Linked DNA regions of Drosophila melanogaster. The protein of the gene in region 2 interacts with the protein of the main gene of each other region in a pairwise test. Each region holds a gene or a part of one and is shown on either strand. Other genes may lie near its edges.

Evidence for each region. Proteins that work in one complex are often made in the same cells at the same time.
Region 1: the proteins of Prosbeta7 (region 2) and Prosalpha2 interact in binary tests that used the Drosophila melanogaster proteins (3 or more experiments, as listed by UniProt).

Annotation. Positions count from the first base shown.
Region 1 is NT_033777.3:12,429,261-12,433,660, forward strand, and holds Prosalpha2 (proteasome alpha2 subunit), read left to right. Parts: upstream 1-2,060; 5' UTR 2,061-2,180; coding exon 2,181-2,221; intron 2,222-2,323; coding exon 2,324-2,400; intron 2,401-2,485; coding exon 2,486-2,741; intron 2,742-2,806; coding exon 2,807-2,962; intron 2,963-3,026; coding exon 3,027-3,201; 3' UTR 3,202-3,296; downstream 3,297-4,400. Other genes in the region: CG5245 (uncharacterized protein), read left to right, coding at 410-1,915; Aos1 (activator of SUMO 1), read right to left, coding at 3,335-3,812, 3,869-4,297, 4,365-4,400. UniProt on the Drosophila melanogaster protein: The proteasome is a multicatalytic proteinase complex which is characterized by its ability to cleave peptides with Arg, Phe, Tyr, Leu, and Glu adjacent to the leaving group at neutral or slightly basic pH.
Region 2 is NT_033777.3:5,355,921-5,360,157, reverse strand, and holds Prosbeta7 (proteasome beta7 subunit), read left to right. Parts: upstream 1-1,793; 5' UTR 1,794-2,082; coding exon 2,083-2,234; intron 2,235-2,301; coding exon 2,302-2,803; intron 2,804-2,874; coding exon 2,875-3,027; 3' UTR 3,028-3,146; downstream 3,147-4,237. Other genes in the region: Cerk (ceramide kinase), read left to right, coding at 1-179, 608-810, 871-1,000; CG1161 (uncharacterized protein), read right to left, coding at 3,578-3,733, 4,030-4,155, 4,216-4,237. UniProt on the Drosophila melanogaster protein: Non-catalytic component of the proteasome, a multicatalytic proteinase complex which is characterized by its ability to cleave peptides with Arg, Phe, Tyr, Leu, and Glu adjacent to the leaving group at neutral or slightly basic pH.

The sequences.
Region 1 (4,400 bases), 7.1 Mb from region 2:
AACAGATAGGTAAACAGTGTGACCGAAGCTGGACCGGTAAGGAAACGACATCAAAGATGGGCTAAGCGCGTTTTCAAAGTATACCGCATAAAATATTTTTAGAGGGCAAACATTTTGAACATTTAAACATTTTACTACATTAGAATGCATAAATTGATTGAATTAAAATACGGAGACTGGTGTTTTTAATCTGCATAATTTTGTAGTTGTAGCTAGTGCAACAAGGTTTCTATCAGTTCCAGGAAAACGCTTTGTTTACAAGCAAAGTGCTGATTTTTATGTTGATGGTCTTACCCTTTTGTTGTACAAAATTCCGGTGCTAAAATCGGATTAAAAGCGCATGAAGTTATTCGTAAGTAGTTGAAAATCGCACTAGAGATGAATCCTAATGTTTATAGTTTTCAGAACTATGGATCTGGCGAACGTAGATCAACGCCCCGTGAAGGACGAACCACCTCAAGAAGACACTTTCGAAGAAGAATTAATCTTCATTTCTAACAGCGACTTCGAAGAGCTTGAAAGCGAAATAAAGATTGAGAACTTCTGTAGTTATGGCAAAGATTTGGAGCCAGTTAAAGGCGTCCCGTCGAAGCTGAAGACGTGTAAATCCAAAATAGCAAAGAAGCGCCCCTTGCGAAAGCAAACAGATACGTTTAAGTGTACCCAATGCCAAAAGACGTTTACAAGAAAGGAAAACCTCGAATCACACTTGCGACTTCACGCAGAAGAACGTCCGTTCGAGTGTTCCCACTGCTCCAAGAGCTTTGGACGCAGGACGCATTACAAGCGACACTTGCTCAAACACGAAAAGCGACCTCATAAGTGTTCCCACTGCTCAAAAACCTTTACCCAGAATTCATCGCTTAAACAACATCTGCATGAGCACACAGGAGAGCGCCCCTTTAAGTGTACCCAGTGCTCGACGTCGTTCGCGCGAAAATCTCATCTTCAGGTACACTTACGTACGCATAGTGAAGAACGACCCTTTGAGTGTACCCATTGCGAAAAGGCATTTAAAAACAATTCACATCTCCAGGAACACTTGCGAACGCATCAGGAGGCACGGCCCTTTAAGTGTTCCCACTGCTCAAAGAGTTTTAAGCTAAGATCAATTCTACAAAAGCACTTGCTGACGCACGCCGAACGATCCTTTAAGTGTACCCAGTGCCCGAAGACTTTTCTGCAGAATGATAGTTTGCAAATTCATTTGCGAGTGCACGCGGGCGAAGACCCGTTCAAGTGTCCCCATTGCTCAGAGACCTTTGCAAGGAATTCGAGACTTCAACTACACTTACTTGAGCACGCTGGAAAAGAGCCCCTGAAGTGTTCCCAGTGCTCAGCCACCTTTGCCATGAGGTCACTTTATCGAGTCCACGTGCGTTTGCATACAAGAGAGCGACAGTACAAGTGCGCCGAATGCTCGAAATCTTTCTTCAAGAAGTCACATCTTGTGGAGCATCAGCAAGTGCATACGGGAGAGCGGCCCTTTAAGTGTACCCACTGTTTCAAGGACTTCAAATGTCGTACGCATCTTCGGGTGCATATGCTTGATCATATTGGAGAAAAGGTACCCAAGTGTTCCTACTGCTCGAAGGAGTTTAAACTAAGCTCGCAACTGCTGGTGCACCTGCAAGAGCATACTGGAAAAAACCAATTCGAGTGTCCCCACTGCTCGAAGTCCTATACAACTAGCTCGACTCTTCACATGCATTTGCGAACGCACACGGGAGAATTGCCCTTCAAGTGTTCGCACTGCTCAAAATTGTTTGCGAGAAGCGCAGAACACCAGGAACACTTGCGAACGCATACGGGGGAAAAACCCTACAAGTGTTCACACTGCTCAACCCGATACACACAAAAGTCCAGTCTTGGGCGACACCTGCGGCGAACCCTATGCGGCACTAAATCGGATTAAAACCAATTAGTTTAGAATTAACTTAGAAATAATGTAATAAGAAGTAAAGTAGGCGAAAATAAATAAATGAGTTTAAATATTTTTTTAAGTTTAGAAATCGGTAGTGTGCCCATTTGTTTAGTCCCCCTGATCGACCTGTACCATATTTGGCATTCAGCATTCGGTCACACTGCCGCCCAATTGCTGTGTCATTTTTGTTTCTGTGCGAAATAAGTCGGCTTTTTCATTTTACACATCAAATCACTGCATTTGCGGCCCAGGAAATATGGCTACCGAACGATACAGCTTTTCGTTGACCACGTTCAGGTGAGAGCATCGCTATAGCCGGAGCGGAGCATTCGCTTCGCCCCGCGCAACACAAACTGCCGCCATGACTGGGCAATAAGTACAATTTTCTACCGTTTGCAGTCCTTCCGGAAAACTCGTCCAACTGGAGTATGCATTGGCGGCCGTATCTGGCGGAGCTCCCTCCGTGGGCATTATAGGTTAGCATGCCGCACAGCCAGTCAGCCTGTCAGCCAGTACTGTGCATTCAACTAACACACTATTATTTATTTTTCTTGGCTGTAGCTTCCAACGGCGTCGTCATTGCCACAGAGAACAAACACAAGTCACCGCTGTATGAGCAGCACAGTGTACATCGCGTGGAGATGATCTACAACCACATCGGCATGGTGTACTCGGGAATGGGTCCGGACTACCGCCTGCTGGTCAAGCAGGCCCGCAAGATCGCCCAGACGTACTACCTGACCTACAAGGAGCCGATTCCAGTGTCACAGCTGGTGCAGCGCGTGGCCACGCTCATGCAGGAGTACACTCAGTCCGGGTAAGTGTGCGCGCTTTTCTCGACTTTGGGTTCCCATAGATAATCGTATGCAATCCCACCAACAGTGGCGTTCGTCCCTTTGGCGTTTCCCTACTGATCTGCGGCTGGGACAATGATCGTCCGTATCTCTACCAATCCGATCCTTCGGGCGCCTACTTCGCCTGGAAGGCCACTGCCATGGGCAAGAACGCAGTGAACGGCAAAACTTTCCTGGAGAAGCGGTAAGTACCAATAATAGTACACCAATTAAAGTCGCAAGTCACTCATATTTTCATCAACCTGCAGCTACAGCGAAGATCTGGAGCTGGACGACGCTGTTCACACCGCCATCCTTACGCTGAAAGAAGGTTTTGAGGGAAAAATGACTGCCGACAACATTGAGATCGGAATCTGCGATCAGAACGGATTCCAGCGTCTGGACCCCGCCTCAATCAAGGACTACTTGGCCAGCATCCCCTAAACTTAAACGCCCCGCTAAGATTACCACAAGCTAAGCTTTCTTAATAAGTACGGGACATTAAAAAACCAATAAAATTTTACAACTGGTGTTATTTGATATTCAGATTTTTATAAATAAGCCCTTTGTGGTAAATTCACTTCGCTCCGATGGCCTCAACGTATCCGGCACAAGTCTCTGGGTCAAAAACGAACAGATTACGGTGTGGCGCCTCCAATTTAGTAACCACCTTGATGACCTCTTGTGCCACAACGCCGCCGACAACAGCGACCGCTGGCGAGATCTGTGCAAAAATCAGACCTAGAGCTTCGTCGCCCAGTATAGAGTTGGGCAGCAGTTCGTCGCGAATTCCGCGAAGCAATTCCAGGTCAGCTTCTCGGGTCTTGTAGCTGGGATCCCGCTTGTGGGTTGTGCGGAACTTTTGCAGGACACTTAATAGCAAAACACCCGGGCCATTGCGCTTCAATTTTCGCAAATAACTAGGCTCGGTAACATCGAAATCAAGCCAGGCAGAGTAGCCGGGATAATCCACATCACGCTGCGTTGGAATGGACACGGTTTCATACTTCTTTTTCTTCTCCGAATTGGCTACGACCTTGTGCTTAATAACATCCCTGGAAAAAAGGTGGACATTAAGTTAGCAATGGGCAATGGTAGGTAGGGAACCTACTCGACGTAGCTGTGCTTCTGCAGACTGGCAAAGTAGAACCCGAAGGTGCCCCACACATCGGTGGCTATGAACTTGACGCCCAGGTCCCGGCAAATGGTGTCAATGCGCAACAGTTCCTCGTTGGTCGCGCCATTGACCACCACAACGTCGAACTGACCGAAGAACTCAGAGGTCTTCTCCTTCAAGGGCTCGCGGTCGGCGGAGATGTCCACCATGGGATTGAGAGCACGTGCCCGTGTCAATGATGCTTCGGCCCGGTTGGTGTTCAGCGATTCACGGGGGACAAGGAATTGTGAACAAAAGTCCTCCTCGGTTACGTCCTTGTCATCCAGCAGCTTCACGGAGTTCACTCCGGACAGGATGATGTTCTTGGTTATCTCGGCGCCCAGGCCGCACAGTCCAGCGATGAGAATCTTGGCCGTGCGAAGGCTTAAATCGAAAATATATTTTAGCGCATTATAGCGCCATTGCGGAATGCCGGTTTTTTTGCACTCACCGTTTCTGAGATTCCAGACCCCAGAGTCGGATTTGT
Region 2 (4,237 bases):
GCAATTTCTTTATGATCTGCGGCGCGAACATAACCTGCGCCTGCGCCAGGAGTCCCAATGGCATCTCCCGTTACAGTCATCTGGGTGATGGTTGCCTGGACCTGATTCTCGTGAAAAAGACCTCACTGCTCAACAACGTGCGTTTTCTGCTCAACACGGCGGGCAGAAGTGGTGATATTGTGAGTACTAACTATTACAACTATTCAACTTTCACATCCAAAAGAACACCTTTCCTATAAGAGGCGTCCATTTCCTTTGAAATAACATTTCCATAACATTTTAACTGCATCTTTAATTGCCAAATCCCCTAAGCCTACAAGCTGAGCTTAGTGCTTTCTATCCTAAAAGCCAAAAACCCAAAACCGAACCCCATCTAGCTCGGATTGAAGCGAGGGAAATCTGTGACAGAAAGGTTATTTTACGAAGATCTACTAGCCGCTCTGGTGGCATCCATATAAAGTATATACTTGACCAGTTTCAACAATATAATGTTTTATCTAGTGAATGCGATGGTATCTTTTACTGTAAAAATATAAATGAAAAATAAAAGGATACAATTAAATTTTGTAGAAAACAATAAATATTTAAAAACATTTTCCCATTGCAGCGCAATTTGCCTTTTGTAGAGGTATATCGCACAAGGGAATTCCGGTTCAGAACTTTTTCTGCCAGCGAGGAGGACTACAGCTTGGCAGGGTCTTGTCAGCCGATTACACCGCCTGAAGAAATGACCGCCCACTCCTCCTCGACGGAGTTTTCCAGCTGGAACTGTGATGGAGAGGTGGTGACCGACCTGGACATAACCATGCGGTGAGTTGGTTGTACCTTTAACTTCAATAAATCGCTTATTAACCGTTCCGTATCTGGCAGATCGCATTGTCAGCTCATCGAGGTCTTCATGCGGGGTCCCCATTCCTACAGCAAGCCCCTCAAGGGCGGCACCACGCCCACAACCCCAGCTAGCTCTAGCGACAATGTTTACTGCTGCTGCAAGGACTAGAAGCTTTAACCCCATAGAATTAGCATCAATCGTTGGCCGTGACATGTAGCTCTTAGTTTTGCGTAGGGTATCCTTATTCGTATATGTATCGTGTTAAAGAGCGGGTCTCCCCGTCATTGTTTTTAGCATAGCTCAATAAAGCAACTGATATTATCGACTGTATTATGGCATCTGAAAGATGCGGCAGCAACCTAAACATTCCCCTCGGAAGCATTATGCACATACCTATATATTTACAAATTGTGTACTGGTATACTGGCAATAAAAATGTATTTATATGTCTTCAAATTTATAATTCTTTATTATTAATTTATATGATCAAATGTTATGATAAAAAACTTCGTTGGGTTCCCAAAAACAACAATCCGGAACATGTGCGTTTTTCCCACCAATATGAATAAAAGCAGAAGTTTTAGCAAAAGAACCTTATTCCGCTTAAAAAGCTATGGAGAATCGTGTTCGAAGGGAGAGAAGGGAGATATTGGATTTGTAGATTGACCAGGATAATTTCCAAACGTCATTTACATTTATTGCTCTCGATTCTTATACTTTAATGACCATTGAACGGCTTAAAATGAAGTAAAGCAAATGGTCATTATATATTAACTAAACATATATTTAGTTTCAAGGAGTAGTAAATACCGTAGAAGCAACGGGTATACATGAGTCTTAATCCTAATTGAGTGAAAAGTTCTTTAATTTCTTATCTTTCTTCTCCTTGATTTGTATTATCAACGAGGATTATAAAGACAAAAGTAAAAAAACAAATTCAGTATAGGCAGCGTGGTGTTAACTGTTTTACATTACTTTTAACATCAACATCTAATAAAATGTTAAAAAGTTCACAATTAAACTTCAAATTAATTTAATTTAACACATGTAAAACGGTGTGACCAAGCTAATAGTGGATTCATCTTTGGTATGTCTGGTATTTTTAGCTACCGGTTGCCGATACTGGTATTGCCGCCCGCCTAAAGTCTGTTCACACTGCGCTGACTCTTGATTTTATTTGTGCCCGTCATTCTCCGGCAGCGACAAACATTTCAAAGTCTCGCGTTATTCCAGTCTCCGAATAAATTAGCATGTTGAACAACTACAACAGCCTAGCGCAGCCCATGTGGCAGAACGGACCCGCTCCCGGCGAGTTCTACAACTTCACGGGCGGACAGACGCCGGTCCAGCAGCTACCGCGGGAGCTGACCACAATGGGACCCTATGGAACCAAGCACAGCACGTAGGAACTGCGGATATGTTTATATGCAGATGTACCACTTGTTTACACTCCTTTTACTATTCCGCAGTGCTTCCAGCACCACGGGCACTTCCGTGCTTGGCATTCGCTATGATTCAGGAGTGATGCTGGCCGCCGACACCCTGGTGTCTTACGGATCCATGGCCCGCTACCAAAACATTGAGCGCGTCTTTAAGGTCAACAAGAACATCCTGCTCGGCGGGAGCGGCGACTTCGCTGACATCCAGTCCATCAAGCGCAACATCGACCAGAAGATGATCGAGGACCAGTGCTGCGACGACAACATCGAGATGAAGCCCAAGTCCTTGGCCAGTTGGATGACCCGTGTGCTCTACAACCGTCGTTCGCGGATGAACCCCCTCTACATTGACGTGGTTGTCGGCGGCGTGGACAACGAGGGGACTCCGTACCTGGCCAACGTGGATCTCCGTGGACGATCCTACGAGGACTACGTGGTGGCCACTGGTTTTGCCCGCCATTTGGCCGTTCCGCTGGTCCGTGAGAAGAAGCCCAAGGACAGGGACTTTACCGCCGTAGAAGCTTCCGAACTGGTAAGGAATTTCGAACTCTGATGGGGGGACTCTTCATTATTTAACTACCCTACCATTTTCTTATATTCTAGATCCGCACATGCATGGAGGTGCTTTACTACCGCGATACTCGTAATATTTCCCAATACACTGTGGGCGTGTGCAGCGTCAACGGATGCGGCGTGGAGGGGCCCTTCCAAGTTAACGAAAACTGGACATTCGCCGAAACCATAAAGGGATACTAGAGCCTCCGATTCTGAATGAACTTAGTTTAGGTCTAGCTCGGCGGTTTTGCATTAAAAAAAAACACTTGTCTAAGGATATGTGGTTACATGATTTATTAAAAATAAATGTGGCTGAAAATAATACGTTTAAAGTTATGGTTATTGTGTGATAGAAACTATCTTCGAGTTATTCTTTCGTTAATCTCTACTGATGGAATCAAAAAGTAGGCGTCAAACTAAGAAGCCCAAGGGAGTTTCCAAATCTAACTTGGACTCACCATTACGGTCTTACGTTCCTTATTTTCCCAAATTATAACCATCAATTATCATTAAAAGTTTTATTTTAGTGGATTTGTTGGTTATTCCTCCCGGCATTCAACTTATTAATTAATATGCAAACACTCCTGACAAACATATTTTGGTTTATTTTAATTAACATAAAATCTGGCTAAATATACAGATAATCAATTTGATCCAAAGGGGAATTTCGCAAAGGATAACTGCTTGGAATACGTGTCTTAAGTCGCCCATGCGCCTCCTAATCTCCGCCAGCTGCAAACCGAACCCCTTGTTAGTTTAGCATGGTATGCCTGTCGTAGATGTGGCGTCTCTGCTCGCGCACCTGCCGCTTCCACTTGTCCTGCTGGTGGCCCACACGATTGAGGACATTGGCTCTGGCACTGAGCTCCTGGTTGTTGACGGCTGGCAGGGGCGGCGTTGGTTCATCCTGGTTAGAAAAGGGTGGAAAAATGTGGAATTAGTCGAGGTGATCCAAGATCTGGCCGTGTTAGTTACTGTCTTAATGAAGTGACGGTGTGGGTTAGAAAGTCAACAAAATCTATAACGCAAAATGAAACAAAGGTGGTTGTGGAAATTAAAATCTATTCAAAAGAGTGGTGCTTCTTTATTGCCAACTAGTTGAGCCGCTTCGGCATCAACATCGTCATCTTCATCATCTTCGCCTTGGGCTGTAACTAGGAGGCTATACTGAATGCCCTTGTATCTAGAAAGCTTGTTATGTACATCTTCGTTGGTGTGCTCCTGGTAGTTCGCCTTCACTCGCTTGTTCAGCAACGGGTCCAGGCACATCAGGAAGAGCATGTATATTACTAAAATGGAGATGATCCAAATCACAATAATGACCACGACCTGGATGGGGGAGAGAGCTGGTTAAGTACGGACGGCTTTTGAGCACTCGAATTGACTCACCTTTATCAGCGTCGTATTTCTC